Linked DNA regions of Kluyveromyces lactis. The protein of the gene in region 3 interacts with the protein of the main gene of each other region in a pairwise test. Links are inferred from orthologs where the notes say so. Each region holds a gene or a part of one and is shown on either strand. Other genes may lie near its edges. The genes, in order: HCA4, NOP19 and SAS10.

The links.
Region 1: the proteins of SAS10 (region 3) and HCA4 interact in binary tests that used the Saccharomyces cerevisiae proteins (3 or more experiments, as listed by UniProt). The link is inferred for Kluyveromyces lactis from reciprocal best matches to the Saccharomyces cerevisiae genes SAS10 and HCA4.
Region 2: the proteins of SAS10 (region 3) and NOP19 interact in binary tests that used the Saccharomyces cerevisiae proteins (3 or more experiments, as listed by UniProt). The link is inferred for Kluyveromyces lactis from reciprocal best matches to the Saccharomyces cerevisiae genes SAS10 and NOP19.

What each region holds. Positions count from the first base shown.
Region 1 is NC_006040.1:793,962-805,801, reverse strand, and holds HCA4 (RNA-dependent ATPase HCA4), read left to right. Parts: upstream 1-1,706; coding exon 1,707-4,019; downstream 4,020-11,840. Other genes in the region: PML1 (Pml1p), read right to left, coding at 727-1,380; CTK2 (Ctk2p), read left to right, coding at 4,493-5,464; Rab geranylgeranyltransferase BET4, read right to left, coding at 5,497-6,477, 6,567-6,569; spindle checkpoint protein MAD2, read left to right, coding at 6,758-7,348; KLLA0_D09416g (uncharacterized protein), read right to left, coding at 7,466-8,059; VPS53 (Vps53p), read right to left, coding at 8,366-10,777; chaperonin-containing T-complex subunit CCT8, read left to right, coding at 11,706-11,840. UniProt on the Saccharomyces cerevisiae protein: ATP-dependent RNA helicase required for ribosome biogenesis. Involved in the release of U14 snoRNA in pre-ribosomal complexes. Required for pre-rRNA cleavage at site A2.
Region 2 is NC_006037.1:456,595-465,842, forward strand, and holds NOP19 (Nop19p), read right to left. Parts: upstream 5,373-9,248; coding exon 4,779-5,372; downstream 1-4,778. Other genes in the region: histone acetyltransferase GCN5, read right to left, coding at 1-412; ATG7 (Atg7p), read right to left, coding at 846-2,657; ribosome-binding protein NMD3, read right to left, coding at 2,979-4,523; ATP-dependent RNA helicase DBP8, read right to left, coding at 5,573-6,880; putative GTPase MTG2, read right to left, coding at 7,166-8,854; THP2 (Thp2p), read right to left, coding at 9,108-9,248.
Region 3 is NC_006039.1:1,429,208-1,441,047, reverse strand, and holds SAS10 (rRNA-processing protein SAS10), read right to left. Parts: upstream 5,984-11,840; coding exon 4,145-5,983; downstream 1-4,144. Other genes in the region: KLLA0_C16445g (cyclin family protein), read left to right, coding at 1-1,073; MutS family protein MSH5, read left to right, coding at 1,243-4,047; RPC53 (DNA-directed RNA polymerase III subunit C53), read left to right, coding at 6,387-7,601; autophagy protein ATG9, read left to right, coding at 8,016-10,742; snoRNA-binding rRNA-processing protein NOP14, read right to left, coding at 10,784-11,840. UniProt on the Saccharomyces cerevisiae protein: Primarily required at the G2/M phase. Essential for viability: involved in nucleolar processing of pre-18S ribosomal RNA as part of the ribosomal small subunit (SSU) processome.

The DNA.
Region 1 (11,840 bases), on a different chromosome or scaffold from region 3:
ATGGATGAAGATGACAAGGAAACCGTTTTAGACAATGTCAATGAATCCTTAGAATGGTTGGAAGACAACTCTGATGTCGCTGAAGCTGAAGATTTCGAAGAAAAGATGGCTTCATTCAAGGAATCCGTGGAACCAATTTTGGCTAAGGCTTCTGCATCTCAAGGCTCTACTTCAGGAGAGGGATTCGAAGATGAAGATGACGACGACTATTTTGATGACGAATTATAATCACCTTCAATACTCCGAAAACAATGGGAGACTATAAACTCAACTGAAAGAAAAAAAATAACGAATTCAACAATGCTTGTTTTCTTCCGTCCTGCGAATGAAGTCACATCCGAAAGCAAAACTTTAGTTTACTTTGCAATCTTTCAATTTCCAAATCTGTATTGTCTTGCGCATGTCATTTCTATATTTGACAAGCTCTGATGCTGACCCGTATGTCTGGAACAACACAACTGCGGAAAGTTCCATTGACTTGTACGCAACGAGAAGAATAAAGCAGCAAAAAAAAAAAAAAGAAAAAGTTCTTGTTTAACATATTTAAAACGAGTCCAACTACCTCTTCCATTCTCTAGCATACATCGATATTGATTTATCTTTTTCTCACATAGTTTTGTAATGTATAGAAATTACATTTCCGATTTTATAAAATACAAATAATATAAGGTTTCAAGAAATCGATTCTCAAGAAGGACTTGTACATGAAAAATACAAAAGAATAGATCATACGGCTAGGAAAATGAGCTCATAATCTGAATCATTTGGATCTTCAGATACGTGTATAATATCAGAGCTCTTTAACTCGATATACCGGGCGCTAGGAACGGCTGAATCATTCAAACACGTACCGTTGGAAGAATCAAGATCAATCAAGTATGGAATTAAAGATTCACCGACTTGTCGGAATTGTACGGCACAATGTTCTTTCGAACAGCTTTCCTCTTGGATTGGGATATCAGCAAGAATAATTTCCTCTCCATCAGATTCGAAGCGTCGTAGACTCTGACCTAATCCTCTACCGATAATATAGCAACTTTTATCATGCAACTTAGTTTTACTTACTTCACCCTTGACGCCCTTCCTATACACAACAAGCTCATAACGAATTTGATCCCACTTAGGTACTTTTAGCTTTTTATAGAAATCGTGGGGTGATATCGCATCTTTGGGCTCTACATGCTTAAGTTGTATGCCTTTTTTCTGGTGGCTTTCCAGTTCCAATAATCCTGATGGCTCAAATATAGGCAAGATTACTTTTTTTTGGGCACCTTCATAGCGGCTTCTTTTCGTTTCGTGATCGTATCGATATCTGCTACCTTCACGTTTGATGCTCATTCTTTTGGCGCCGTTGCTTCCATAGATGACGGTATATTCCATATATCTTACATATTTATTCCATATATTGTGCAATTCACAATATAAGGTTCATCTGTCATTTCATCGCTTTTCATGTTGTAGGAAAAAAGAAATAGAAAAGAAAATTTTTGGTAAATAGAAGAGCTCATCTCATCTCATCTCATCTAGATAGAGGTTCGAACCTCAACCTCAAGGAAAAGTAGTTTACTTTGTCTTTGAGCGGTATCATTAATCGACCTATAGAGAAGTTGATTAAAGTAGCAAACTGGTGCATTTAATCATTTAACTAAACGTTTAATCAACTGTGCCAATATAACTTATAATTGGTTTGCAAAGAGCATTTAAAGATGGCCAAGAAACAAAAGCATAATACCCAGCAGCGTAAGCTGATTCGTGAAAGAGACAGCCAGAAGATCAAAGATCTTGAAACTAAGGTTGAAGAATATAACCCGAAAATTGCTAAGGCTAATTTGTTTCAAGATTTACCCATTAGTGAACAAACTCTAAAAGGGTTGAAAGAAGCAGCATTTATCAAATTAACCGAGATTCAGCGCGAGTCCATACCTCTCTCCTTGAAAGGCCACGATGTATTAGGCGCTGCCAAGACAGGTTCTGGTAAGACTCTAGCATTTTTGATCCCTGTTATCGAAAAGTTATACAGAGAGAAGTGGACAGACATGGATGGGCTAGGTGCATTGATCATCTCCCCAACAAGAGAATTGGCCATGCAAATATATGAAGTGTTAAGTAAAATTGGTAAGCACACTACCTTCTCCGCCGGTTTGGTTATTGGTGGTAAAGATGTTACTTTTGAGAAAGAGAGAATTTCGAGAATTAACATTCTAATAGGAACACCAGGCAGAATCTTACAGCATATGGATCAAGCCGTTGGATTCAATACTTCAAATTTACAGTTGTTAGTACTCGATGAAGCCGACAGATGTCTAGATATGGGTTTCAAGAGAACCCTTGATGCCATTATTAATAATTTGCCTGCTTCAAGACAAACACTTTTGTTTTCAGCTACTCAATCACAAAGTTTGGATGACTTGGCTAGATTATCTTTGACAGATTACAAACAGGTAGGAACGATGGAAGTTTTAAATGCTAATAGTTCATCTGCGACTCCAGAATCTTTACAGCAGTCATATATCGAAGTGCCACTACCTGACAAACTTGACATTCTGTTCAGTTTCATAAAATCGCATTTAAAGTCTAAGTTAATTGTGTTTCTATCAAGCTCTAAACAGGTGCATTTTGTTTATGAAACTTTCAGGAAATTACAACCTGGTATATCTTTGATGCACTTGCATGGTAGACAAAAGCAAACGGCGAGAACTGAGACGCTGGATAAGTTCAGCAGAGCGCAACATGTCTGTCTATTCTCAACTGATGTGGTTGCTAGAGGTATTGATTTCCCATCTGTTGATTGGGTGATCCAGGTTGATTGTCCTGAGGATGTCGATACATATATCCACAGAGTTGGAAGAGCAGCCAGATTCGGTAAAGAAGGTAAGTCACTCATTATGTTAACACCAGAGGAAGAGGAGGGATTCTTGAAAAGATTAAAAACTAAAAACATTGAGCCCAGTAGACTAAATATCAAACAATCAAAAAAGAAATCTATCAAACCTCAGTTACAATCACTCCTTTTCAAAGATCCCGAATTGAAATATCTAGGCCAAAAGGCTTTCATTTCTTATGTTAGATCGATATACATTCAAAAAGACAAAGAAGTCTTCCATTTCGACAAAATACCATTGGAACAATTTGCTAACTCTTTAGGTTTACCAGGTGCTCCAAAGATCAAGATGAGGGGAATGAAATCGATAGAGAAGGCAAAGGAGTTGAAAAATACATCAAGACAGCTCCTAACCCTAGCAAAGGCAAATGATGAAGGTGATGTGATTAAAGAAAACAAACCTGAAGTGAGGACCAGATATGACAAGATGTTCGAACGGAAAAACCAAACTGTGCTAAGTGAGCACTATCTGAATGTCACCAAAGCACAAGCTCATGATGATGAGGATGAAGATTTCATCATGGTTAAACGTCAAGACCATGAGTTGAATGAAGCTGAATTACCTGAACTTCTTGTTCCAACATCTAAGAGAGCCCAAAAGAAAGCATTATCAAGGAAGGCAACATTAGCATCTAATGGTAACCCAACCAAAGTCAAATTTGACGATGATGGTAAAGCTCATCCTGTTTACGAATTAGAAGATGAACAAGATTTCCGTCAAAATGGTAACTCAGAGAAGCAAAAAGAAGAGTTCTTGTCTAAGGAGGCAGAGCTTATGGCAAAGGTTGATGTAGAAGATAAACAGGTTGCAAAAGAGAAAAGGCAAGAAAAGAAACGTAAGAGACTAGAAGCAATGAGAAAAGAAATGGAAGCTGATATGGAGGATAGTGATTATGAGGATGAACCAGTAGCATACCTTGGAACTGGGAACCTAAGTGACGATATGCAATCTGGAGCTGACACTGAAGACGATTCTCAAGATGAAAGGCAACCAAGAAAAAAGAGCAAATATGCTGATTCCAGTGAAGATGAGGAAGAGGAAGAAAGAACTACTGAACGTGATAGAATTATCGAAGTGGAAGAGCCACAGACTCTTGAAGATTTGGAATCTCTAACAGCAAATTTGATTGGATCTTAGATTCATCAACTGCTTGACTTATTTAATCATGTATAAAAATAGACGATAACCTTGCATTCCAATAATAGGATAACATCTCCCTTTTAGGATTACGACAATACACTTGAATAATTTATTGCCTCATCAAAGTAGCTCTGGCATTTACCGACTTGCTTCGTGATTCAAAGCATTTCACCCACAGACCTTCCAAAGATCAAAACGTTTAAAATGACATGTTACTTGAAGGGAAATTTCATTCAAAAAGTTTTGTTTTAAACCTGTTCTGCGAATGAAAAATTAAAATGAAATAAGAATAGCTTTTGTATGTGTAGTATTATAGAAAGAAGCAAAAGTTGTCGTTTCTAAACGATAAGAGTTCTATTCTATCCAAAGTTGGTGTCAAATATAAGAAAACCCCAATATACCTGTATTAGATAGGCTGTGATTAGTGAGGGTAGAATTTCGTGGGTTTTAGTTCCAATTACTACTCTGCAATGTCGAATCAAAGTGACTTAATTTTATCCAGACCGTATCTTACTAAATCACAACTACAGAAATCCCAGAAATATAACATTCCTGATCGCCGAACATATAACCAAAAGAGGATATTGGTGTTCAAATATTTATGCCAATTATGTGTTCACCTCAAATTACCAAGGAAAGTTTTGGAAGCGACAATGTACTTTTATCACAGATATCATGCATTCAATAAATTCGAGACCGAAATGTGTTATGATGTTGGAACGAGTTGTTTATTTTTAAGTTGTAAACAGGTTGAAACGTTTAAGAGATTAGGGGAGGTGTGCAGTACGGCATTAAAGATTCGTAATGTACCTCGTGTAACGCCGGATATGGTTGATGCTTTTAAAAAGAGAGTGATGCAAATGGAGCTACGAGTATTAGAAACTTGCTCCTTTGATTACAGAGTCAACAACGAAGTGCACATAGATGAGTTTATAGTCAAAATTGGCCGTGAACTCTCATTACCTTACAGCTGTTGTCGACTGGCATGGCTTATAGCCTTCGATGTATTAAAACTCGAATTGCTCATTACCGTCCCACCTCATACCATAGCATTGGCGGTATTGAAACTTGCATGTGAACTACTTAATGAAACAAAATGGCCCAATGTTCGATATAATTTATTTGAAACGGATGCGGCTTCTTTTCATGAAGCGTATTTCGATATTCTAAATTTTTATATCAATGTCTTCGATGCATGTGATTTAAAAGACCATGAAACTGTCAAATCTTTAAACCTAAAGATTGAAACATTCATTGAAATAAAAAAGACCGCTGGCCCTGAGCAGGGACTAAAGGTTGATCCAATAGCATTAGATAAAGACGATTACGTGTCAAAGGAACGGAACTTTGCTGTGAAAGAAAGAAGATATGTTTTGAACCAGAACTCTCTTCAAGAAGAATCGATATCTACCAAAAAAAGATCTATCAGTGAGGTTGAATGAGATCTTCATATTCATGTAATAATACAATCATTTCATAGAGCTCTTATTTGGTATAAATACCTATTTTTCCTCAAGGGATCGATAATTATCAACTTATCAAGATATTCTCTAGATTTTGATTTTATATCTTCCTTGAGGATATCTTTTTGAATGAACTCAATCACAAGTAGTGTCTTTAGACACCAAATATTATCCTTTCCAGAGAAACTAATATCATCATCGTTTATAAGTTCAATGATCTCGGTTAGTTCTTTTAGCATACTGCTATACTTTTCTGACGTCATATGCTCTTTTAGTGCACTCTCTTTAATAAACCAGATCAGATACGTCCAGACAGATTGATCTTCAGCATCAGTGAACATGGCATTCTTTATGTACTGAAATTCATCGTCGATGAAGGACTCTTTGTCAGCTATTTGATCTCTCGCCAGCATATGTTCAATTATATTCGTTCGTTGGAACCACGCGCTAAAGTTAGAGATATTTTGATTTATTTTCGCGGTTGTGTATTCAAACTCTTGTGAATTTAGACAGTTTCCGCTTAAGCGTTCTACTGTGCTTACGATGTATCTTCTGTAATGCCATCCATGGAAATTTCTCGCATCCATTTCCAGTAATTTGCCAACAATGGCTAATTCTTTCAACCAGATTTTCAAGGGAGAATTAGGATAATGCTCTAAACACCAAACCCTGTGATTCCATATCCAGTATACTTTTGGACGAACCTTCAATTTGTCCATAGTGAAAGCAAGTTCCCCATCCCAGAAAGTTTGATCCAGTGATGGGGCAAGTAGTTTTATAATTTCACGTCTATAATTCCAGATGGTGTTGAATTCTGGATTGATATTAAGTAACTGGGTAGTCTTCAGAAGAGAGTCCTTGTTTGCTACTCTTTTATTCTTCAATTCTAAAACCTCATCTGATAATTCTCGATAATCGAGGATTTCCTGTCTCTCCTTCTCGCGCTTCTTCCTTAATAACTCCTTTGTCCACTCTCTTCGTGTAACACCATGCTGAATTCATTTCAATTTGTAAATGTTAGTAATCTGCAATTGTATATTATGAGAATCTTCTTTGAAAAGAGTGCCGAGGTCTGCCATACCATTATTTGTCCTCGAGTCTCTGTGGAATTGAGTTTAACGTTCTGATTTGCTGTTCATCATAATCATAACTTATAAGTTTGAATGTTAATTATAAAAAATAGTAGTTTAAAATGAGCTCAATAACATATGTTTTTTGAACTTGCTTCGACGAACAAGGATTCAGAAGAGACTGGAAAGTAAAATTGGAAACATGGATTTGATATCATTAAAAGGTTCGACACGAATTGTTACTGAGTTCTTTGAATATAGTATAAATTCAATATTATATCAACGAGCAGTATACCCGGCAGAAGACTTCGCTACAGTTAAGAAGTATGATTTGAGCTTATTAAAAACACAAGATACAGAACTTAAACAATACATACGGGAAATTCTCCGGCAGGTTCATAGGTGGTTATTGGGAGGTAAATGTCACCAGCTTGTTCTGTGTATAGTAGATAAGGATGATGGTGAAACAATTGAAAGATGGAAGTTTAACGTAGATTCTCACAGCAACAAGAACGATACTGATGATGATATGAACATTCCATTAGAGGAAACCCAAAAGGAGATTCGGGCAGTACTTAGACAGATAACAGCCAGTGTCACTTTCTTGCCCGAATTGAAAAATGAAGGTAACTATACTTTCAATGTTTTGGCCTATACTGATAGTAATGCGAATGTTCCACTAGAATGGACAGATTCTGATTCAAAAGAAATAGCGAAGGGGGAATCTGTGCAATTCAAGTCTTTCGGTACATCGGCCTATTCAGTGGGAGCTGAAGTCACTTATAAGTTCTAACAAAATTAATGGCTGAACTTATTGCATTTCCTTTTAATACTTATGCTACAAATAGGAACAAGATATAGTAGAAAAGGCACATAATACTTAATTCAACTCGAGAAAGCTCATACTAATTCAATCATCTTGGTGTCTTTTCCAAACTTCTATCCAAATCTTGAGATGTTCAATTAGCTTTTGTCTTAAGAGTCCTTCGCATTCTTCCTGCATAAATGGGAAAAGGTTGGACAATAAGCACGTTTTGAACAACTTTAATTTTGACACGGCTGCCATATCAACCCTCAACTCTTCTTTAACTCTAAGAAGAGCAGTAAAATCGAGTTTAATGTTGTCTGACTCTGCTGCTATTTGGATTATATCCTGAATTATTGCTATTTCATTTGCTAGATTTACGGTGTATCCATTATCCAATTTGACTGAGAGATATGTCAGCCTATCATAAAGCGGTTCGGCCACAAACTCAGGTATATCAAGTTCTTTTACTATTTGAAACTCTTTGCGCTCTTCAGCTAATTCATCAAAAATATCGTAAACTTGTTTTGGGTCAAACGTATCATTCAAATCGGTTCTGATCAATTCCACAGGAAACATCAGAGCAAAATGTGATTCACCAACAACATCTATAAACATATCAATTTCCTTAAACTCAGCATCTGTAAGCGTGCTTTCAGCTATAGTGAAAAAAATCATTATGTAGAAGAATGGAATCATTGCATGAGGATACCAGGTCTGATTTCAAAATAAAGTCGATAGCCGAACCAACTTGTGCGGCACATTTTGTCATATAATCAGATATATTGTAAGTGCTCAGGTTAACTGATATATCTTAATATTCATAAGTAAATAATATCTTCGAGTTTTCTGTGTCATTTTGACTTGACGCATTGACATGCCTCGAAAATGTTAAAAAAAGCCTATTTAAACTGATAAATCTGCTACAGAGGTAAAGGTAGTATTACAAGTAGTGTTGCTGTTTCGTTGGTCAAACTGCGTGTGGAAGCTTCTCTACAGAAGCAGTTAGCCCTTCTTGAAAAAAAAACTGGAGTTTGACATAAGGTTTTTTATCTCATTCAATTTATGTCCAGGAATCTTAGGGGATGGAGACCCAGTGGGTGGACTAGGGGAGGACTGTATAGCTACGGATAAATCAGGACGTGGAACAGGTTTAATCTTGAGGTCTTCCTCCAAAAATGTTTTCCATGATGGATCTGATACCCTCGATAGATTGTAAATAAAGTTTTGTAGTTCTCTAGGGTTGAAAATAAGGTCATCTGGTTTCATCGGTTGAGTATCATCATCTGATTGTTGAAATTCTGACCATACTCTTTTCCAAAGTGCCAAATCCCAAGGTACACCTTTTAGCGCTAGTATAAATGCCCAGAAATTTGAGTTTGTATTCTGACTTGCGGTTATTGCATAATAGGTTTCCAAGTATGTTGTATCAGGGTCAATAGGAGAGACAAGTAACTTTAAAAGATGCATTAGTTTTTCCACATTACTATCTATGTGTTTCGTGACTCTTTTAGCTGATGTGTCATGTTGCGGTAAACTTTCCGGAAGTGAATGCAACGTTGTCTTCAATAGTTGAACGTCTAACAATAATTGTTCTGCGATATTTATCACTTGCTTCACATCGAACTGTCTTTTCGAATTAAGAGTGCCATATGGTAAAGCTGGTTTCAAGAGCTTTATAATTTGAGATTCAAAAGAGATAGCTATTAAATCAATAGTTTTATCAATAAAATTCCAACCATAAAGATCTCTATTGAATTGAGAAACAGTGGAGTAAAATGTTGAATTTTCCGATCTTGTTGGTAGGAGGATACTCTGTAAGGTAGTCACATATCTGCTGTAATCTTCCACCATTGTATTAGCCCAATTTGTGTTTGTGAACTCCCTCCATACAAATTCCAAATCTTTCTTCAGGATGCGATTTAGTAGTAAATTGATACCACCCGATACGAGATCCATGTATTTTTGCCTTGTAGGTTCAAAAATGGCTGCAACTTTGTTGATATTTGGCTCATCATTCTCAAGATATTCACAGAGTTTATCTTGCAATTGATCAATTGTATTTGCGCAATAGTCTGCTGTATTGACAAGAAGAACGGTATATTTCACTACTTCATTCTTATCATCGATTTGTGTATCCTCAGGTAACAACAATGGTTTCAAAATCTTTTCATAATATTCATTCAACCATTTGACGAAGAAAACCGCCAATTCCACCATTATGGTCGATTTATTACCGCCTTCTATCAAGCTGAAAGTTTGAGAAAGAATGTGTCTATAAGTTCTAAACAAGTCTGCACTGGATGGAACGACAAGCGATTCATTTTTAGCTGGGAGCTTGGTCTCATTAAGATATGTCAACATCTTGGCGTTCAAAGATGAATCTTGGTGTCTAACCCATAATTTCAAATATGGCTCAAAGCAAGTGGATATTTTACCCTCGTATATATGGGAAAACTTCACTGATATGTATTTTTCAAACTCTAAGGTAGTTTGTAACGATTGCATGAATAGGTCAATGGAGGTGGTACCGGACAAATCTCTCTTCAATAATGTTTTCAAATCGTTAGACGTCATTGTGAAGAAAGAATCCGTTAGTTTCAAAGGTATCTCCCATTCTGATGGGAAATATTCGCTGAAAGTAGACTGGAAATTATTTAATACTTTTTTGAAGAAGATGTAACGTCTAGACAAATTCTCCAAAGAACCAGCTTCATCATCAATTTGGAAGATTTCTTTAATTTCATACAATAGAGAATCCAAACACAATTGCACAATCCTTTCTTTATAATGCTTATTAGTGTCCGCAAGGCAACATATACCGTCTTTCATCGTTTTGCTGTCATATTTACTGTTAGACCCATCCCTAAGCACTTCTTTCGTTACTCTCTCACACACCAATAGTGTATCACTCTCTAAACGATGAATTTGATTTAGAAACTTACAAAACTCATCCAAAGATTTATATTCGTGGAAAGATACAGATAAGGAATGCATAACTTTAAAGGGGCCGCACATTTCAATGTATTTTTCAGCTTGCATGTACTTTTTAGAGTTCACGTATGCATCACTCAAGATCTTCAAATTTTCAAAGCACGTCATCGATCTCGTTATATTCCTCTTAGCGTTATCCAAATCTGAAATATCATGTGTCAAGTCGGATATGGTTGCTTCAGTAATCTGTGACAGAGACTTCGTTGAATTTATCTTCTCAAACAACTTGTGGAAATCATAATTGTCTTCTAAACTATTGACTTCTGAACTGGTGTTATTGCTTTCTCGTACCCGCTCCTCTAAATTAAATTTACATTTTTCGGTTAATAGCACTAGGTTATCAATATCTGATAAAGATTCCTGCTTCGAGAATATCTGTTGAAGATCGTGTAAGGGATCGTATTCCAAAGATTCTGAAATCATTACTTGTTAAGTTCTAGTTATTCAATTCAAATTAATGTGCGTGATACTAATACAGGAAACAATAATGGGGAGGAGCTGGATAGAGAAGGGAGAATTATACCTCTGCAACTTACAATTGCTGGCTCTTTTTGTCATTTACTGATGATACAACAAAGGTTCTTGTTATATTTGTTTCTGTATGCAATAATTACTATGAAAGTCTGATATCAGAAATATCGAAAAAAAATACAAAGTCTTTAAAAGGTGAATTGACAGTTCCAAACCCTTTAACTATGAAAAAAATAATGCTCCAGGGGAGGTTCGAACTCTCGACCTTCAGATTATGAGACTGACGCTCTTCCGACTGAGCTACTGAAGCAATTCCTTTGAGTAGCTTCATTGACACTGTACATATACCAGAACGATGTAATCTTCGCACTGCATAATATATTATTGCTCAACGAGTTACAGTGTGTAGCCAACGATGCTGCTCTTACAAACATATGTTTTGCATATGGCAGAACAACAGAGTAAGTGCCTTCCTGAGCTATATATTGAAATGGTTTGATTTGCCAGGATCAGCGAAGTTTTAAGATACATAACTCTATTCTGCTATGATTATTCCTAGGATGTTGACGTGGATGCATCCATCACCCAGCTACATACCTATTCTTTAGAGTAAGATGATAGTACTTTCAGATCTCCAGAAACACACATGTACACATGCCTTATTCAGACACTTTGTCCCTAGTAACTATTGGCTAAAGCATTCCCATATTTTCTGCATATCTCTCAATACTGAAAAAAAAAAATGCTAAAGTATCTTTTAACAACATAGTTGAAATATAGAAAACAGTGCGTGAACAAAGGTGGCGAAGACGAAACTTGTACGTGGAAAAGCTATACCTTGGAAGGAAAGCAGATAATTCACAAATCCTTGAAAAGCAGCATGTCTTTGAAACTTCCTCAAAATCCTAATGCGGGATTGTTCAAGCAAGGGTACAATTCGTACTCTAATGCTGATGGTCAAATCAATAAATCGATCGCTGCCATTAGAGAGATTCACCAGATGTGTTTAACTTCT
Region 2 (9,248 bases), on a different chromosome or scaffold from region 3:
GAGATGTATCCGTCTTTTCATTTGCTTCTTCCTCTAATTGTTTCTCTTCAGCCTTGGTAGTTGTACTACTGGCATTGTAGTCATTGACTGGTGATTCAACGACCTCTTCATTCGTTGTAACTGATTCGATTTTGTCTTCCACTGTTTTTACGGATTCCCCCGCAACTTTTGTTTCAGAAGTTCCGTTCTGTGCATCTATAGGTCCGTCCTCTTCCTTCTGGTCTTCCTTCTGGTCTTCCTTGCTCGTCTTGTGTTCTAAATCATCGGTAACATCTTCATCAACTGCAGATCCGCCATCGATTTCAGTTTCCACAGGCTCATCTTTGGGTTTGATTTCCTCTTTTACAGTGTCAACTTTTCCCCTCTTATTCTGGACTCTTCCAGCACCATGGTGGCGTCTCTTCGGTGGCATTTGGTGCTTAGCTTCTTGTCTACGTGTGACTATTTATCTTGTCTACGTGTGACTATTTATCCTGTCTACTCGACCTAATATATATTCCCGTTCTTGTATGCTTTGGTAATTTTTCAAGTTGATTTATACATCCGTACACCACAGTCGGATAACGAGTTTAGTCTACATCTAAAACATGCCTGGTATAAGCTGATGGATCACGGAAAAAGGCCCAGTTATGTAGGTGTACCAAGCCCGTCATGGCGTAATACGCTGCAAATTGTGCAAGACTTATATTTATCTTGGGAATTATAAAACTAAATTTCATCCTGACCGTTAAATCAGAGATAAACACCTTTTCCTAACGACGAATATCGATTTCTACGCTTCATCACAAAAGGAATGCATGTCACATCATTCCACGCATCAGCCTGTCAGATGCACTGGCTATACTTCACTCTATTGACAATTCCTCGTCGTCATCAAAGGAAATATCTTCTTGAATTGCCAATTCAGCCTCCTCTTGCACCTTCGACAGTCCACTTAATTGCTCCACACACTTATAATCATCTAGCGCCTGTTTCACGAAATTCCATCCGTTTTCCTTTAGAGTTAAAATGACATTTTCATTGCTTGCACAACAGTGCTGATATGCCGGTGTTTCAAGTTTTACAGTTTTAAATTCATTTAGAAATCCTCGTATTTGATGCGGAGCTGACCCAAGCACGTTCGTCGAAGGCTGAAGATATGTCACCAATAATTCAACAGCCTGGGAAGCCGCTAATAGGGCAACACCCGGTCTAGTTACAGTACACATCTGATCTAATGTTCTGTCAGTTAGAGAATCACTTGGGGCCACGATATCGTTACAGAAATAGCAACCCAGGTTGTCATTATTGTTGCCATGTCTCATTACCAAATAACTGTCAAAACCAAGGGCCGCATTAATAACTATTTTTTCATGCATTCGTCCAAGCACCGAGGGAAGCCATCTCGTCTCGCGTGCATCCATTAAAAGAAATATAACATCATGCGTCCTTATAAGCTCGTCCAAAATTTCATAATCCTTCCTCTGCTTGCTTTCGTTCGATACAGGATGTCCTATCATTGGTATTTCCAATTGATAACCTGCAGAAACGACAGAAGGAAATATCTTCTTCAGAGAGTCACTGGCAGCTTCGGCCTTTGGTCGCCCACAATCTTCAAAGTTGAATAATGGTTGCCTTACCGGATTAGAGAAAGAGACAGTGCTGTTGTCGACAAAAGTTACATGACGAGTACCCCAAGCTAATAAAGCTCTAGCCACGTAGCAACCTAGGGTACCTGACCCCAAGATCAATGCTTTAATGTTCTTTATTCTTTCTAGATCAATGTCAGGAGCAATCCTCCATTTCATTAGCTTGAGATTGAGATCAATGGATTGTTCTGCTATCTTCACGGGATCCATCAATGAGCTTAAGTCAGCCGATTTCGGAGCTAATTTTCCAAGACCATTTTTCTCCCAACCGCTGACCTTAAGACATCCTGTATTGCTCCCGGTAACTCTGATCTCTGCCGCGAAGCTGGAATTATCATCACGAAGGAAACATATGGTGTACGTATTCCTTGTGGATATTTGACTCCAAACCGTTAGAAAGTTCTTAGTAACTGCGGCAGGAATGCCCTTCAGCCGACTGAAGTCCTTGAAGATGACTTTCTGACATACTTTGAGATACTGAGGTGATGCTTCCTGAATCTTTCCATCCACAACACAGGAGATAAAGCTGTTCTGCTCCCATATATCCTTCTTTACACCATCTTCGATTGATTTTGTTGAGATTATTTCGTACGATGACCCCTCAGACTGGAAAGTAGGCATACAAACCCAATAATAAAACTTATATTTCTTCAAATCGGCGAAGCTTATGACATAAAACCTAACACACTCTTTGAGACCATTCTTGAGGCCCTGTTCTAGTAATTGCTGTCCCTTTTCCTTGATAAACTTTACTTTGTCACAGGATTTGAATGATTCGATAGTATTAAAATTCAACACTGACCCTTTCAAAGTCACTGCCTCATTATTGAGAACAGGATCGAAACTGTCATCTCTAAGCGAGAGTGAAACAGTGTTAGAAGTGATATTTTCAAGGTCTAGTGCAGAGAACAATTCTTTCTCAGCAGAGTCTAACTTGAACACTTCAAGTTTTAATCTTGATAATTCATGGAAAAACGAGGTATCAACAAAAGACTTAAAAGCTGGTGAAAACTTAAGATCGTTAAGCATCTTTCCTGGTACTCAGGTTTTGTTCCATGAAGAAAGAATAGTACTTCTTGGTTTACTTTATTTATCTATGCACTGCAGTTAAGGGTATAGTGTATCAGGGTAGTATTACGAATCGACGTCTTTTTTACAAGAATGAACTAAACTCAGGAAAGCATTGTTACCCTGAAACATGCCAATTATTAATATTCACTAGTGTACACTATACAAGACGGCCATTGTATCATTGATCTAATGCAGATGATGAGTAAATTCAACTAACTTGCCTATCTCGTAAATATATATTGTAATTATTGTCCAAACAAGAAGAGACTAAACCAAATTCTATAGCATTTCTTCACCTTGTTGTTGATCTTCTAAAGTCATCTCATCCAACTCATCTAATAGTTCATCAATATCAATTTGTGGAGCATCTTCATCTTCATCTTCTTCCATCTCGCCTTCGTGCTCTGCTGGTTTGTTGCTCTTATATAGATTGATTGTTTGTCTCATTTCCTCATCTTCCTCCAATTCTTGTAGGAAAATCTCATAATCTCTTTCAGCACGTTCCATTTCTTGTTTCTGTTGTCTTGAAGTGTAGTCTTGAGAAGCTTCGATATCCTTGTGTTCCTTAGCCATTCTCTTCAACTTCCATTTTCTGTTCTTCTTTGTCTTTCTTTGATATAGTTTCTTGATTAGAACGATGTCTGGCACGTAATCAATATTTAAACCATCGAAGAGCTCTGAGTTATAGTTAGAGTTAGCGATAAAGTAACCCATGACACTGTCACCAGGATGAATAATACCACCAAGATGTGTTCTAACGTAATAGACTTGGTCATTGGAGCCTAGATCGGAAGATCTAGCGACAGTAACGTCAGCCAATACCCATTTGTTTCTAACTTGACCAGTAGGTTCAACGTCCAATATGATGAATTCAACTAGTTGGGACACTTCAGCTAATGCACTGAAAGGTTCACGCCAGTACATTGGAGCAGTCAAATCACACGTTTGAAGAGTGGTTGGATCCAGGAACTGGAGAGAGTTAGAAACCTTGGAACAGATGACAAATTGACTGATGTTACCCAAAGACTTGGCAAGCTTCTTAGGTAAAACAACCAAATCATCTCTACAAATTGGAACAATTTCCACGGAAAAAGTGAATTTGTAAGTAGATGAACCGGTATGGATATCTTGAGAGATTAACTCCTCGGATTTTTTACATTTGATAGGTACGACAGCATTTAAGAAATCCAACATCTTAGCAGCATGGTTCTTTTGAGAATAGAAGAAATCTAAACCATCCTTTGCCTCACTAATGGAAATGGTGTCAACATGGGCATTGTGCTTCAAAATCAACTGTTCTAAATACAAGAAAGTTCTCTTATGAGGAACTTTTTGTCTAATTTGGACGTTTGCTCTCCATGTATTAGTGGTATAAGATCTAGCACAGTCCGGACATTGCATGGCAATCACCACATATTCCACTTCAAATGTTTGCTGGATAATAGTGTTAGCCATAGCTTCACCTTGAACGGTCAATTTGACCCGGATACGTCTAGAATGAGGTTCGGTCCAGATAAATGATGCATCCACTAATCGAACTTTGTTTAAGCCTTTCAAACGACGTAAACACAACGCCAAAAGTTCACGAGATTCCAAAGAAGCCCTAATCCATTGGCTTGGTGGTTGCAAGAACCTCTCACAGTTTCTACAGAAAGAAACATTAGCCTCTCTGGGAATACCTTCTGTAATATCGACATTCAACTTAATACAGTCGTAACACATAACTAGCCCTGAGGACCCATCCATAGGCACACCACAACTGCAACATAGCACTGTAGCATGCTGATGTTGCATGTGATTCTGATCTAACGGAGTGTAATTCATCGAGTTCGGTGGATACTTCTGCCCTTGCTGGAATACCTATAATGCAGACATTAATCAGCTTTCAAGCACTATCAGACTGTGCAAGAACAAGATGCGATGAGATGAGCTTTCTCAAAATTTTTCTTAAAAGAGACTGCGAACCCTCAAGAAAAAGAAATTTTGCACGTGACTTTGAACCTTGGATTTATGCATCTATGCATATTAAGCTAGTCTATATACAGGAGAATTACACTTTATAAAGAATGATTAACACGTTCAACGTTTGGATTTCTTTCCAGCAAATAGCAAGCCAAATTGTTTCTTGGAATGTTTTTGTACTTTAGGTTCCATATCTTCTTCATCCGAGGAAGAGTCGGAATGCGATGAAGTCGATTTGGTATAATATTGGTTTTTACTGTGGTCTTTCGAAACATTTGTGCCTCTCGGAAGCTCGTTACGTATCTTCTGTCTTTCCTGATTCCTTATCTTATGTTTTAACGAAACCATAGCCTGGGAGTCGTCTTTCCTCACTCTGTGTATACTGTTTCTCTGTTGCACGTCCTTGGTAGCTCTTTTCTTTTTGGCTAAAGAGCTGACCTTCTTATCACTTTTGATGAACTCTCCAATGGTATGTATATCGGTATCATCAGTACTTTGCGCGTTCTCAAATGATAAACCGCTTCCTATTTGAATGACAGGCAACTGGAAAAATTCCTTCTTTGATTCGTTGCTATCCTCCTTTGCTAGATCATTAGATGACGTCTTAGAATCCTCTATCCATCCGAGCACCTTAGCAGTGGAACTGCTAAACCCATTTTGAAATTTAGCAAGTAGTGCTTGCTTTTCTTTTATCTCCTGAGCTCTTGACATGGCTTGGTGAGTCTGTATTACTTGTTAGATTGTAAGAGTATACCTTTATGGCGGCCGATGCATCTCATCTGGTTCGATCTCATCGCTTCAAAGAATAAGTTACCATTTTTTTTTCAGTGATTACTCTCTAAGGAAGAATCAGAATTCACGTGACTGATTTTTAAATGGAATATGTGGATAGGTCTATCAACTATGTGAGTTTATGTACGTCTATGAGTCTTTTCTTTGGATTCATTCTTTCTCTTTTGGAGTTTCCTTCTTTCACCAAAACCTTCTTTATCCATGGCCATGAGACTTTCTCTTTTTGCTGCTGTAACCTTAGTTAACGACTTCCTAATCACGGCTGTATCACCTACATCGGTGAACTCTTCCATCTTTTTATTAATCCTTTCCTCAATTGCCTCTACTCTTTGAATATCCTTTTCTGTTACAAAACATAGTGATTCACCATGGCGTCCGGCACGCGCTGTACGACCAGCTCTATGAATGAAAGTATCTGGGTTGCCAGGAATATCATAGTTTACAACAAGTTCAACAATAGGGATATCCAAACCTCTAGAAGCGACATCAGTAGCGATAAGAACTCTCGCAGCTTGTGCCCTGAATCTTTGTACAGAGTTCGTTCTTTCTTGTTGTGGCATTTGACTATGAAGTGACGTGACTCTTACATCTAAAGATTTCAAAGTTCTTCTTAAGATTTCAGCCGTTACGGTACGATTAACGAAAATAATGCAACTTGATTTGACGTATTTCTCACTGGTCAATATCTGGTATAAGTATGACTCTTTAACGTGCTCTGGGACTAGCAAATATGTCGTCTCTAATGTCTTCGGAATGGCGACGTTATCAACAGACTCAACCTCAAAAGTAAACACAGGAGGTTTGCCCTCCGTCTGTGGAGCGTCTGATAAAGCTTTCACTTGGTCTGTCATAGTAGCAGTGAAAAGGAGATTCTGTCTTTTGTTTTTCGGTGGTAAAATACTTACACATGTAGCAAGGTCCTTACTGAACGTTTCCGTCAATAATATATCGGCTTCATCTAGTACCAGAAATTTTACTCTTTTTAGCCCTCCAATGGTATCTTCCCCGCTATTCAGGACATGGTGTGCTAATCTACCTGGTGTGGCTATTATGAAATGTGGTCGTTTCTGTAATTCGATAGCTTGTTGCACTATGCTCTCACCACCAACTACTATTGCGACTCTGATGTTCATAGCACTTCCAAATGCTGTGAACTGCTCTGCGATCTGCATCGCAAGTTCTCTGGTAGGTGTTAAGACGATCCCAAACATACCTTGAGGGTCCTCGGACCATTTGGTCAACATCGGAGCTGCAAAAGCAATAGTCTTACCACTACCGGTGTTGGCACCACCTATACAGTCACGCCCTTTCAAAATCTCAGGAATACAAGCCTTTTGAATCGCAGTGGGCTGCACGATTTTCATCGCATTTAATGCTTCCACTAACCATTTTGAACATCCTAAGGACTTGAACTCAGAATTAGACATCTCTTAATATAGATATTATAGTTCTTAGGTACTCTTGGCGAGGTTTATATACAAGTTACTCCTACTAACCACAGCCTTTAGGTCAAAGCACATCTCATCGCATCTGTATAGAAATTTTACATGTTAAAGACTCTTTCCGTTTTCTTTTTTCATTCAAATATGCACCAATATGGGATTTTGGGGGCCCAAAATATTGGATTTCGGAACAATATTCGAACATCGGAACTTAGAAAAAGAAGTAGAGCATGACGTCCAGTAAGGATGTGCCGCTTATTCGTGTTATATCTACAGTTTACCAGCACATTGTGCCATTTTATGCAGGAGTACATCAATATTTTCTCCTTTGAGAGCACTTATTGGTACGACATCCCAGTTGTTTTCTTGGCATTGGGCTTGGATTTTCTGATACTTCTTAAATGTAGATTTCTCATCGATATCAGCTTTATTACAAACCACTAGAATATTCTTCAATGATACAACCTCTTTGCCACCCACTTCTTCAATAAGTATTTGTAAATCTTGAGATGGATCATCCTTTTCAAGACTGATCACGAAAACCCAACCTTTGGAACGTTCAATGTGTCTTAAAAATTCAAGACCCATTCCCTTGTCCTGAGAGGCATCTTTAATAATTCCCGGAATATCTGCAACTGTGAACTTCGGTTTGTCAATCCCAAGTGAGATTGTTCCAATCGTTGGGTGTAACGTAGTGAATTCCCAATGGCCTACTCTAGGAGTAGCATTAGAAATCTGGTTTAAAATAGTAGATTTCCCGGCATTTGGTAGTCCAACAAGTCCCAGATCAGCAATACTTTTCAATTCAAACATAAAATGTTGTTGAAGTCCACTCCTACCCTCTTTACAAAATCTTGGGTTTCTGATCAAGCTGGTTAAGAAATGCATATTACCTAGACCCCCTTTACCACCCTTTAGCAAACAGATTGGTTTCTCAGTTGGTTTACTCAAATCCAATCCATATAATGGGAATCTATCAGATTCAAGCTCCGTTTGTAGTAAGTTATGATCATATTCTGTTACATTTTTGGAAAGGTCTTGAAACCAGTCTTTTGATAAATGATATTCTTCATCTTTACCCTTAAAGATCCAACCTTTTCCAGGTTCGTAAGATTCTCTGAACATTTGAATACGGTTTGGTTTCTGATCCATGTAAAATCTGCCTGTACAATTCAAGATGATATTGGAAGTGTCCAATATGGTTCTCAATGATCCTCCTCCCTGTTCTTTAATTTTCTGGTCTACATGCTCTCTCACAACTTTGGGATCCAAGCACCATGTTACCACCGTCCCGACCGGAACTGTAATCATTACATCTTTACCTTTCGATCCATCTGCCTGAGCAGAAGTACCATTAGAACCATTATCTGCGATATATGTAGTCTGAAGTTTTGAGAGACTGTTAATTCCTTCTATGGCCTGAACGTACACAGACCCACCACCGCCCCCGTCTCCTCCATCTGGAGGACCAATGGCGCGCCCTCTATCTCTAAAAAACGAAATACATCCGTCACCGCCATTACCTGAAGCACACTTGATGATTCTCAAGTCAACAAAGTTCGACTGTTGAACTCGTATGTTCTTATTCTTTTGTAGGTATGATAGCTTGGTGAAGTTTGACAATGGCGATTTGATTTCGATGTATTGCGTATCTGGCGGCGTCGATATAATATTGAATGTAATCTTATTCCTTAATCCCTTCATTGGTTGAACAGAAGTCTTCTTCTCTTCCTTTATTGACAAGTTCTGAGTTGATTCGACGGCTGCTGTTGGAGCCTTTTGCTTAGATCGGCTGCTCGCTAGCTCTTGCAGCCATATCTCATTATCAATAGCGCCAGGTGCATTATCTGGTACATCTGAAAAAAACCTGCAGCGGTTGACTCTTGATATCCTTCTAAATATTGGCCGCCCTAACATCACTATAGCTCCGGTTCTTATTGACTTTCTACGGGTATCCATTTGTTCCTTTACCTGGTTGCATGTGTCAATTAACTTAAGTCGTATCTCATCGTCAACTCATCTTTATTTTGTTGAGTTTAAATAATGAACGTCAATATGTGATAATTTCTGACAATCAGCATATCGAACACAAACAACGCCATAAGCTAAATATAAGTACACCTGGCACTCTGTTGTCCGCTCATTATTTATTGCTATTGCTACATATTCTATTATACTATTAACGTCATCAATTTATAGATCCCTGGATACATTATTCCATTTGGTAATCAGTCGACTCTACGGTCAACAGCTCTTTGATGTTCTCTGCCTTCTGTACCAATTTCTTTAAAGAAGTTGGAGAGTCACCAAATAGTGAGTTTTCAATGTGGGTCCATCTCTGAGACCATTCAGA
Region 3 (11,840 bases):
TGTCTAGCAATAGTAACGAAACAGTACAACACCATTTGATTGAGGTTGAAGCAGATGATGAGGATGATGCGGAGACTGATAGTGAGGCACTAGCTTTTAAAGAAGATGAAGAAGCAGAAACAGGCGGAGATATAAGTGAGGAAATGGAAGACGTAGATGAAAGTTTTACGCCGTTAGTGCCGGTGGTAACGGAACATTCAGAGAGGTTATATCAATATGTGTATGAGAGGTTACACCGTGAGGAGCCTGACCCTAACGATGAGGACACATGGGACCCTGTTATGGTATCGGAATATACCATTGAAATTTTTGAACATTTGAAGTTTTTGGAGAGGAAATTTTCGCCGAATCCCAGGTATATCGAACATCAACCGGAACTAACGTGGAAATACAGATCAACGTTGATCGATTGGATTGTTCAAGTCCACGATAGGTTCCAGTTGTTACCTGAGACGTTATTTTTAACGGTAAACATTATCGATAGGTTTTTATCAAAGAAACAAGTCACTTTGAACAGGTTGCAATTAGTCGGTGCAGCAGCTCTATTCATTGCTTCCAAATACGAGGAGATCAACTGTCCAACTTTGAAAGATATGCTGTATATGCTGGACAATGCATACACTAGAGAAGAGATTCTAAGGGCAGAAAGATTCATGATCAATACGTTAAATTTCGAATTTGGATGGCCAGGTCCAATGTCATTTTTAAGAAGAGTTAGTAAAGCGGATGATTATGAATACGATACAAGAACCGTGGCTAAATATTTATTGGAAACTTCCATAATGGAGCCAGAAATAATAGCAGCGCCACCATCTTGGCTTGCTGCAGGTGCATATTACTTGAGTAAAATCATTATCGGACTCACAGGTTGGTCTGACGAACACATATATTATTCCGGTTACACAGAAGAGCAATTAATACCGTTGGCAACAATGATTTTGGATTCATGCAGACATGCAACAGAACGTCACAAAGCAATATTCGATAAGTACTCGAGGAGTCGCCATAGGAAATCTGCTTTTGTAGTAGCGAAGTGGATTTCAATGGCCGAGAGTCGGTTGGAACAGAAATAAATTCGACAAAAAGAGAGCGGCTAATCATTACTCATACGCCTTCCCGACACATCTAGATAGTACTTAACTCAAAGAAAGCAAAGAAAAAGTGTCAATTCACTTCTTTATCTAATGTTATATTTCGTTTAAATTTCATTTCCAGCACAAATTTACTTTAAAAGTGAAAAGAATGAGATTATTCAGTTTTACTTTCAAAACTAAACTGCACTGTTTATTGACAGAGCGAAGAAAACGAAGGGAAGAAACGGTACAGGCAATTATTCAAGACCAATCACCATCAACAATGCCAGTCACGGCTAAACGTCCGTTATTTATTGATCGGTCGGTCGATTCTGAACTAATTCCAGGTATTGGGAATATACAGGATAGCAATGCTACCGAAATACCCGCCGAAGGTGAAAACAGAAATGTATTGGAAAAATATGCAGATGAAACCATGCATGAGCAAAGCATTAATTGGGAAAATGAAGTAGTATTCTGCTTGGAACTACAGCAGTCCAAGCTTGGAATATCTCTATTGGACATAAATCAAGAGACTTTATCGGTTCTAAATCAGGACATTATTGTTAATGCCAGAAGTTCAGAAAATATGAATGAAGTGAACTTGATTCTAGAAAATTTGATACTTGAAAATGAACCTAGCGTAGTGTTGTGTTCAAGCAGGTTAGGGGAAGTGATTTATGAAAACCTCAAATTTTTGTCAATCGAGCGCAGTTTTAGATTGCAGATGCAGTCCCATGACAAATTTAAAGTAGAATATTTTGTTCAACATTGGAACAACTTTCAAGAGTCCCAACAATTGATAGATATTCAAGGATTTCAGATCTTGGACCAATTGGGTACAAACAAAGCCGCTAAAGTGACAACCATGTCATTGAGCTGCTTGATAAAATCTATGGATCATTTCTCCGCCGTTGATTTTGACGAATGTGAGATGTTTAATTTTTTCGAAAAGGTCAATATAGTGAGACAATTAATGTTGAAGGATCGGCTCTTTCTTGATGATGATACTCTGGCGGCTTTACATATTTTTAAACCCATCCAGATACCAGGACATTTTTGTGAAATAACAAAAACCGGCTATTCATCTGTGTTTGATTTGCTCAATCACACTACTTCAGAACTTGGTAAAAGATTGCTAAAATCCTGGTTAGCCAGTCCACTATCTAATAAAATATTAATAGAAGAGAGACAAAAGGTGATACGATCTCTAATTGACGGCAAGAATGCGATATTATTCGACGATCTTTCAAATTCTCTAAAGTACATGCCTAATATATTCAGCATTGTAAATGAAATGAGCAAAGGCGCAGTAAAACTCTCAGTGTGGAGAAAATATATTTCTTTCTGTACCAAAACTGTCGAGATCATAAACTTAATCCATATTCTCTACGATTCTTCAGATAATTGCCGGTTATTTAACACCATAAAAAATGACCTTGATAAAAGCATGATGTTGAAGATATTAAAGAAAACCGAAAGTGTTCTTGATTTGGAGGGGTCCCTTAACCAAGATGCGATTGTTATAAAGGATAAAGTTCGTATAGAACTAGATGAGGCAAGAGGAACTTACTTCGAGCTTGAAGGTGTTTTAAATCTTGTGGCAAATGAGGCAAACAATACACTAATATCAACATTGCAGAGTAATGAGGAGAAGCTTTTTAAAAAATTGAACGGACGAAATGCTTTGATAAATGCGATATATCTACCACAACTTGGTTATTTACTATGTGTTGATGCATCCATAGAAGATATGTTCGATCCAGCTGTGCTATACTGGACTGAAATTTTCAGAGAACAGAATGTAATATATTACAAGAATGATGATACGAAAGTTATGGACGAACACTATGGTGACCTTCATGGAATAATATCCGATTTAGAGTTGGAGATCCTACTTGAACTACAAAATGCAGTCTTGAATACAAAGCCAGCAATTTTGCTGTCAGGAAAATGTTTCGCAGAGCTCGAGGTTTTAGTCTCATTTGCTAAGACCGCCATTAGCCAAAATTATGTCCAGCCTGTCATTGAGGAAAAGGAATGTGTAATTGAAATTGAAAACGGCCGGCACCCCTTATATGAAACACTTGTAGACACATACATCCCCAATGACCTTCGCATGCTTGGCGGAACTTTTGATAATGATACTTGGAATAATAATTTCAAAAGAATTTCTGTCATTACTGGCGCTAATGCGTCTGGTAAATCTGTTTTTTTAACGCAGAACGGACTTATAGTGTTTCTTGCTCATATTGGTTGTTTCGTTCCTGCTGATAATGCACGTATTGGTCTCGTGGACAAAATATTGACCAGAGTAGTGACTCGGGAATCTGTAGCAAAGACGCAGAGTACATTTGAGATTGATGCAAATCAAATGTCCAAGTGTTTGTCATTGGCAACGCCGAGAAGCTTACTTTTGATTGATGAGTTTGGTAAAGGGACAGATGTGATTGACGGCCTATCTATGTTCGGAGCAATTATAAAGGACTTTTCAAGGAGCTCGTCTTGCCCTAGAGTGATCGCATCTACTCATTATAACGAAGTTTTCAGTCCAAACATCCTTACTAGTGAAATTAATGGTGTAGTATTCTATAAAACCGAGATTTTATTGCAGGTGATGGAAAAGGAAAATAAAGGAAATGCCAGAGATGAAATGATTACCTTTTTGTACAAATTGAGCACCGGAATTGCCACGAACTCTTTTGGTATATTCTGTGCCAAAAACTGTGGCTTAAGGCAGAGCATTGTCCAAAGAGCACAAGAACTTACAACTCAGATAGCAGATGGATTTGACATTGCTAAGAACTACAGCAAACTAACTATCGAAGAATTGAACCAATTTAGAATTGACCAGGATATTGCGAAAGAGTTTGTAGCATGGGATCTTGATCTTGAGTCCATCCATTCTGACAAGATACAGCATGCAATACGGAGAAAACTACAAAGAATATTGGATGCTGGACAAAGCTGCTAATTCGTGAGTACTCAGAAAGCAAAATATTACACGAATGAATAATGCGAGTTTTTTTTTAATGCATGGAGTATATAGATACACTAAATATCATCTAGTACTAATTTTTAAATTTCACAGACTTCGTTAGATTCTTCTTAATACCAGTCTTTTCACCTTCATACGCACCAGATTGACCACCAGAGTAGACAGCACGCACAGATTTGAGCTTCTTTTGAGCTTTTTCGTACTTCTTTCTCTTTTTGACACGCGAATTTCTGTTGTCCTTCTTCCTTCTTGGTGTTAGACCCTTATTCTTTAGAATTTGATAGTTGATTGCACGTTTACCATCTTCTGTAATGTGTTCGGCCAATTCAGCCAATTTTCCTTCCTTAGCAGCTTTCGCCACCTCTTTGTGTGCTTGAAGACGGGAATCTTTCTTGTGTTGTCTATCAGCCCTGATGCTCTTGTAATATTCATTCTCGGCATCACGTTTAATGTCTTTGGCAGTCTTTTCATCATCCGAGTTGATATCATCCGTATTAAGATCTGCCGCATTTTTATCATGCAAGCCACGTTTTCTAGCTTCTTCAAGTAGCCTCTGTTGTCTTTCGTAAAGTCTTTCTTTGTAGGGAATATCGTCATCACCTTTGAATCTATCAGTCTTCTTACTAGCCTTTTGATCGATTTTGGAAGTGTAGAAACGTAACGTCTTCTTCCTTGTTTTCTTTTCTTGGACATCAACATCTGCAATCTCATCTTCAACAAAGTCATCAACGTCTTGTAATATCCTGTCTTTCTGAACTTTGTTTGCAGCTCTGTTCGAAAGTTCGATATCAAAGTTTTCTTCTTCTTCGCTTTCCATATCACCCTCCTCGTCCTCATTCTCATCTTCTGCCTCATCGTCACTGGCACTTGCTTCACTGTCCAGTTCATCCTGTTCTTGTAATAGTTCTTCATCAAGTTCACCAATATCCGAAATATTTTCTTCAGCGTCAGAGTCTTGCTCAAAGCGTATTGCTTCTGTGTCCGGTAGTTCGCTAGCTTGTCTCCAAATTTCTTTACACTCCAAAATACGCTCCATTACCGGATGATCTTTCATAGAAATGAAATCTTCGTTATTCTGTAATTCATATAAGAAAACTGCAAAATATGAACTAATTGTTCCAAGATATGAAGATAATGCCATAATTTTGATCTGAATCAATTCATTATTCTCCTCAGTTTGTTTGAGTTTCAGCTCGTCTAAAACGGGTGATAATTTACTGAATTCCTTTGATAAAGGAAGGTATTCTGGGAAGGATGTCTTCAAGAAACCTTCCTTTCTCTCTAAGTCCATGTTGAGAACATCCCTAAGGGAGATTTCAGTAGGACGTTCTTGATCCTTTTGATCTTTAAATTGACCTAAATCGAATTCCTTAGCTTCTTTTACCCATTCTTCATCAACTTCATCCTCAAGATAGTCTTCCATATGAAGGTCTTCCAAATGTTTCTTCTGTTGGCGCAAAGCTTCCTTTTCTATCTCTCTTGCAGTCTCTTCATCGTCCAAGTCATCGGCACCGTAGTATTCTGCCTTAGAAGCACCCCATGCGTTCTCATTGTCCAGCATAGTACCACTCTCTTCTTCTGCATTCTCACCAACGTCTAATTTCCTACCAAAAACCTTCTTATACACAGCTTCACCTGTTAATTCTTCTTGTTCACTTTCATCATCTTCAACTTCTTCACTTTCATCCTCACTATCTTCATCTGACATTCCCATCACTTCTTCTTCTTCATCCACTGAAAGATCAAAATCATCTTCTGGTTCCCTTTGATCAAGACCTGCGTCCTCAAGTAGCACTTTTTCTCTCTTGTTTGCAAAGTCATCGACCTCATTCATGCCATAGGCAACATCTTCTTCCTGGTCTTGTCTACGATTAGACCCTCTTTTTGAGACCTTTGCACCTCTCTTTGCCATATTTGAAGTACAATGTCCAGTACAATTTAAGTCCAACTCAATATACAGTCGATTACAGCGGCTGATAGTAGTTACCTGTTATGCAGCTTGTCATTCTCTTAGTTATACCTATTCTCTGAATTGAGATGAGATGAGATGAGCTTTAACTTTAAACAAAATTTTCCAACATTGCTTTTTCAAGATTTTTCACCAAAATTGAAAGCTGCACTACTACTGGAAGAGATCACAATGAGATGAGCAAAGTTGATGCGCAAATAGTCAATGCAAGGGTTAGTATCCAGTAACTAGTCTTCGTTTTCATATTAGGATTTGCTGTTGAACGAAGAAACGGTCGAGAATCGCAGTATTAAACGCTTGAGTCAAGAAGTTATTTGCATCAAATTGTGATAGGAATCAACTAAAGATGAGTGGACGTTTACCTGGATTGAACCAGGGGAAACCATCAACCGGAACCTCGCTGAAGTTTAAGCCCAAAGTGGTAGCTCGTAAATCTAAGGAGGAACGAGATGCTAACGTTCTGAAGGTAGAAGAGCCGAATAAACAGGTTGAGAAGAAGAAATATACACAGAAACCACAGGGCAACCAGAAGAGGCAGCCGAAGTATTTAAACAACACAAGAATTATCACATCAGGCCCATTGGCAGCTGGTAATTTCTCTGGAGGATCTAATAAAGGGAATAATGGATTCATTAAGACGGAGGGTTCTCAAAGCAGTCTTGTGCAACGCGGTTTGAAAGCTGTTTCTGATGATGAAGCAGAGGGATCGGACGCAGAAGATTCAAAAGCTGGGAAGAGAATTAACATGGGGAAAGAGTATACAGAGGCAGACTTCAAGAAGGAAACTGACGATCTGTTTGATGAAGATGAGGATTCTAATACTGATGCAGCCATGAGTGAAGAGACCAGAGCCTCTAAACAATTGGCCAATCTTTTCCCTGTCAGGGCAGTTCGTATCAATCACGAAAAGGTGGATTCTCTACAGAAAGTTGTCCAGGAATCCATGTCAACTTTGCAGACCAGGGAACCAACACCAGGACCTGTGAAGCTAGAACCAGAACAATCGGATGGTACTTTAAATGACATAGTGAACGAGAAGGAACAGCAGTTAAAAGAAAAACTGCGTTTGCTTCAACTTCAACAAGATTTCCAATCTGTTGACAGCGCAGAAGCTCTCAGGGAAACAAATTTGTTATTTGAGGATCATAAACATATGTACAAAAAGTTAAACAAGATTAACGACGTTCCAAATAAGTTTATGTTCTTCCAGTTCCCATCAAATCTACCTGAATTTCAGCCACAACCCCCAGTGAAATCCACCGAAGAAGATGTAAAGCCAAATGGTGAAGCAAAAGTAGATGAAGGAAGTGAACAATCAAATAGTAAAAACAGCAAAGAAACACAAATAGATTCACCTGAGCCTTTGATCGGAAACGTTGGTTCAATTAGAATGCATCGATCCGGCAAAATGTCAATCAAGATCGGGGACGTCGTAATGGATATCAGCAGGGGCGCAGAGTCTACATTTTTGCAAGACGTGGTTACACTAGATTTGGAGGGAGAAGAAGCGGAGCTACTAGGCCAAATCGACGGAAGAGCGATTGTAACACCACATATCTAATTATATAGATTTCTGCATGTACATGATAGTTGAAGAAAAAGCTCAGCAAATCAATTCGTATGATAACATTAATTTAATGTAGACAACTACATCAAGAATGGGAGATTCAAATACCACTGCGAACACAATCAGCAGCTACTGCATAGTAACCTAATAAAGATGCATCGCCTTTTCAGGTTATAATTCCTGAAATCAGAATAGTCATTAAGTACGAGTTGATGTTTGGATATGCAGGGCTCCATTACAAAACTTGTTCATGTATACAAGGATTCCCTTAAAAATGACTTCAACAAACACAAAACAAGGTATAATCGAAAGGACACTACAACCATAACCTTACCTCTCACGGTATTTAGTCAGTTGATTGAATCAACTTGAAAAGTTTGGATCAATAAAATTTTGGAAGTCTGAGTTATGACGGATAGTCAGGATAAAGTAAATGGTGGATCCAAGAACACATTTCTATCAAGAGTGTTTGGTGTGCACTCATCTGCTGTAGAAAACTCTTTGGATGCCGCTGAGATGAGCCATATTACTATGCCTACGGAACAGGATTTTAGTAACTATGCCGAGGATGAAGGTAATGTGAGGCTAATAGAATCCGATCAGGAACCATCTTCATCTAACGAGGACAGCAATGATGAGGAGCCGCTAATACAACAGCCACAATCCATAAGATTTGATACAGCATCTGATGGGATGGCAACAATACAATCGGAATCAGAGCCCGATGAGGGAGGTACAGAAGAAGATGAAGTGCACTTAGAAGAAGAGGATTTCAGCGATCAAGACTTGGCAAGCTCTGTTTCGAAATACGGACAGCCTTCAAGCAGCGAAGACGAGGAGCCATTATCAAATCGTGACAGTAATAGAGGATCTGACGAAACGATACCTTTCATAGGTAGACAACGACTGAATCTAGGTGGTAAAAACCCCATTACAGGAGCAACTAAGTCAACCAAGAACCCTTCGGAAAGCAGGGTATTCGAAAGATTGTTAGGGAATAGCCCTGCAAAGATGTTTCGCAATAACGGAAGGCCGAATAATCTTGAGGAGAGTTTTCTCTTCCGAAAGCCATCAGTCGCAGAACAATCAGGACCAGGTAAATCAACTCATTTCAATTTGAAACCTCCTCCAATATTTAACAATATTTCTACTTTGACAAGCACTTCAAAGAACAGCTTATCTTCACTTAGTCCAAAGGAACGAGCTTTATGGAAATGGGCAAATATCGAAAATTTAGACACTTTTTTGCAGCAGGTGTACGAATATTACCTAGGGAACGGATTCTACTGTATCATCACAGAGAAGGTTATTCATCTAGCTACAATCTTGTTTGTGGTATTCATTTCAACTTACATGGGCCATTGCATAGATTATTCAAGGTTGTCATCGTCTCATACTTTTGAAGAAATTCATATTGAACAATGTTATAAGACACAGATCTCTCCAACTGCAAAGGTATTTCTATGGATATTTTACGCCTTCATAGGGCTTAAAGTTCTACAATTGTATTTTGATGTGAAAGCATTGAAGGACATCCGAAACTTTTACAACTACCTTTTAAGCATATCAGATAAAGATTTACAAACTATTCCATGGCAAAGTGTGATTCAACAACTAGTATTACTTAAGGATCAGAATGCGATCACAGCAAATGCTACCGAAGTCAAAGCAAAAAACAGGTTGAGTGCGCATGACGTGGCTAATCGAATTATGCGCAAAGAGAATTTTGTCATTGCACTATATGATAACAATATTCTTGACTTATCCCTACCAGTACCTCTACTAAGAACATGTGCTCTTACCAAGACGCTCGAATGGAACATAAATCTTTGTATTTTAGGTTTTGCATTCAATGAGAAGGGCTATTTAAAGCAAGCTTTCTTAAGAGAAAGCCAGAGAGAATACCTGGGAGAGGAGTTAAAGAAGAGGTTTGTTCTTGCTGGATTCTTGAACATTATCTTATCCCCATTCTTAGTAACATACTTTGTTCTATTGAACTTCTTCAGATATTTTAATGAGTACAAAACCTCCCCAGGATCAATAGGTTCTCGGCAATATACTCCTATTGCTGAATGGAAATTTAGGGAATACAATGAATTATATCATATTTTCCAAAAAAGAATGAGATTGAGCATGATAATAGCGGACAATTATGTCAATCAATTTCCCAATACATTATTAAGCTTGACCTTAAGCTTTATACAGTTTGTTTCCGGTTCTTTTGTGGCAATCTTGGGTATTCTGACAATATTTGATCCAGACAATTTCTTAAACTTCGAAATTACACCTGACAGAACTGTTTTATTTTACATGACTGTTTTTGGTACTTTATGGGCAGTTTGTCACAGTTCTATCAACGATGAGTATACGGTTCTCAAACCAGAGGAAACACTGGAGGAACTTGTGTCGTATACACACTACGCTCCAAAGGAATGGAAGGGGAAATATCATACAGAGGACATCAAAAATGAGTTTTGTAGGCTTTACAACTTGAGAATCACATTATTACTAAGGGAACTAGTCAGCATTATAATCACTCCCTTCATATTATGGTTCTCCCTGCCAAAGAATTCAGAAAGAATAATAGATTTTTTTAGAGAATGTACCGTCTATGAGGAGGGGTTGGGATACGTGTGTAAGTACGCAATGTTTGAAGCTACTAAAATTGACAAAGGTACCAAGGCCAAAAAACAAACTAAGAGAATGTTTTCCCAAGCAGAACAGGATGATAGTGAAACCGAATCGGATGAGGGTGTTAACAAAATGCTTCAGTCATATATGTACTTCGTTGACGATTACAAGAATGCAGGCAATGCAGTGGGCAAAAATCAGCTACCAGCTTCTCCAATCGAGCCATCTTATCACCCATACAGCTCTACTAAAGACTATTCCTGGAAGACACAATTTGCCTTAGGTAAAAACTCCAATCGTAAGAGAAATCTTAATCGATCAAGGGTGAAGAGATTCCCGGATCGTAGTTCGGACCTTGAATTAGGCTCATTGAGTGGTTCACTTATCAACAAATCTACCCTTTTTAAGGATGATATTGCTGATAATGCTGACGAACTGAAGGCGGGAAATGGTGTTATGGGCCTATTAAACCAATATTACAAAAAATCAGATCGCAATCGATGATAAAGTTTATTAATGTTGAGTATAGATTATATAATATGCAGTTAACGTTTGGTATTACGGAGCTTCTTTTCACGCTCATATTTGTTTTTCTCAGCACCTTCTTCAGTACTGATTTGATTGACAATACGTGCCATCTTGGAATGGTAATCGGCGTACTCCTTCTTCTTTTCTTCAATGCCTTGTCTTGCCTCGAATCTAGTGTCTTTACGTATTTCTTTCATAGTGAACTTACGTTCCTTCTTCAATTGCGCCTTCATCTTGTTCAACTCACTTCTGGTCTTATCTGGATCATACGACTTCTTATCTGGGTTGAAGTTCTCTTCGAATTTAGGCGTATTTGATGGAATCGCCAGTGGTTTATGCTGTTGCAACGTCAATGGCAGACGTTCTTGGAATTTCAATAGCTTTTCGATCTTTTCCACTAATTGTTTTGGTTTAGAAGTACCAGGATATACTTCGGCAGCCACGTTTAGTATGTCTTTGAAGGGATTAATGATTTCTGGGAAGGCAGTAAGATCTTTCCAGATGTTCGTTATGCACCAATCAATTGATTCTAGATTGTTGACCAGCACGGACAGTTTGATAGATTCTTGCTTTTCTAGATCCTCGGAAAATAATGAGTGTAATTCTAAAGAAGGGGCGACCTTGGACCAGTTAATATCCGAGCCTACTATTGATAAATTGTCCTCCTGTTTTTCTTTGTTTTCTAATGTTTCCCCTTTGGTACTCGGTATTAGAGAACGCAAAGATGTCTGCAAGAAGTATGTTAACTCAGGAATATAACGCTTGCTTATACGTTGATACTGGATGGCGATTCTAACCAGTATCGAACCAAATATTAATTTTTGAAGAGAATTGAACCTAATTTGTTCCAAAAACTCTGCAATTAGAAGCAGACAGGGAGTAATGACTAAATGATAGTGATCCGAAGTGGAGAACAACATACCAACAACAGAGAAAAATACCAAATCTGATGGAGATAGTCCATAGAACTGGGATTCTTTGAATCTAGTCTGAATATCTGAGATGATATTTCTACAATCCTCTGATAGTGGAATGGTAAACTTTTCTGAAAGAGTCTTTAGAATGCTTACTAGT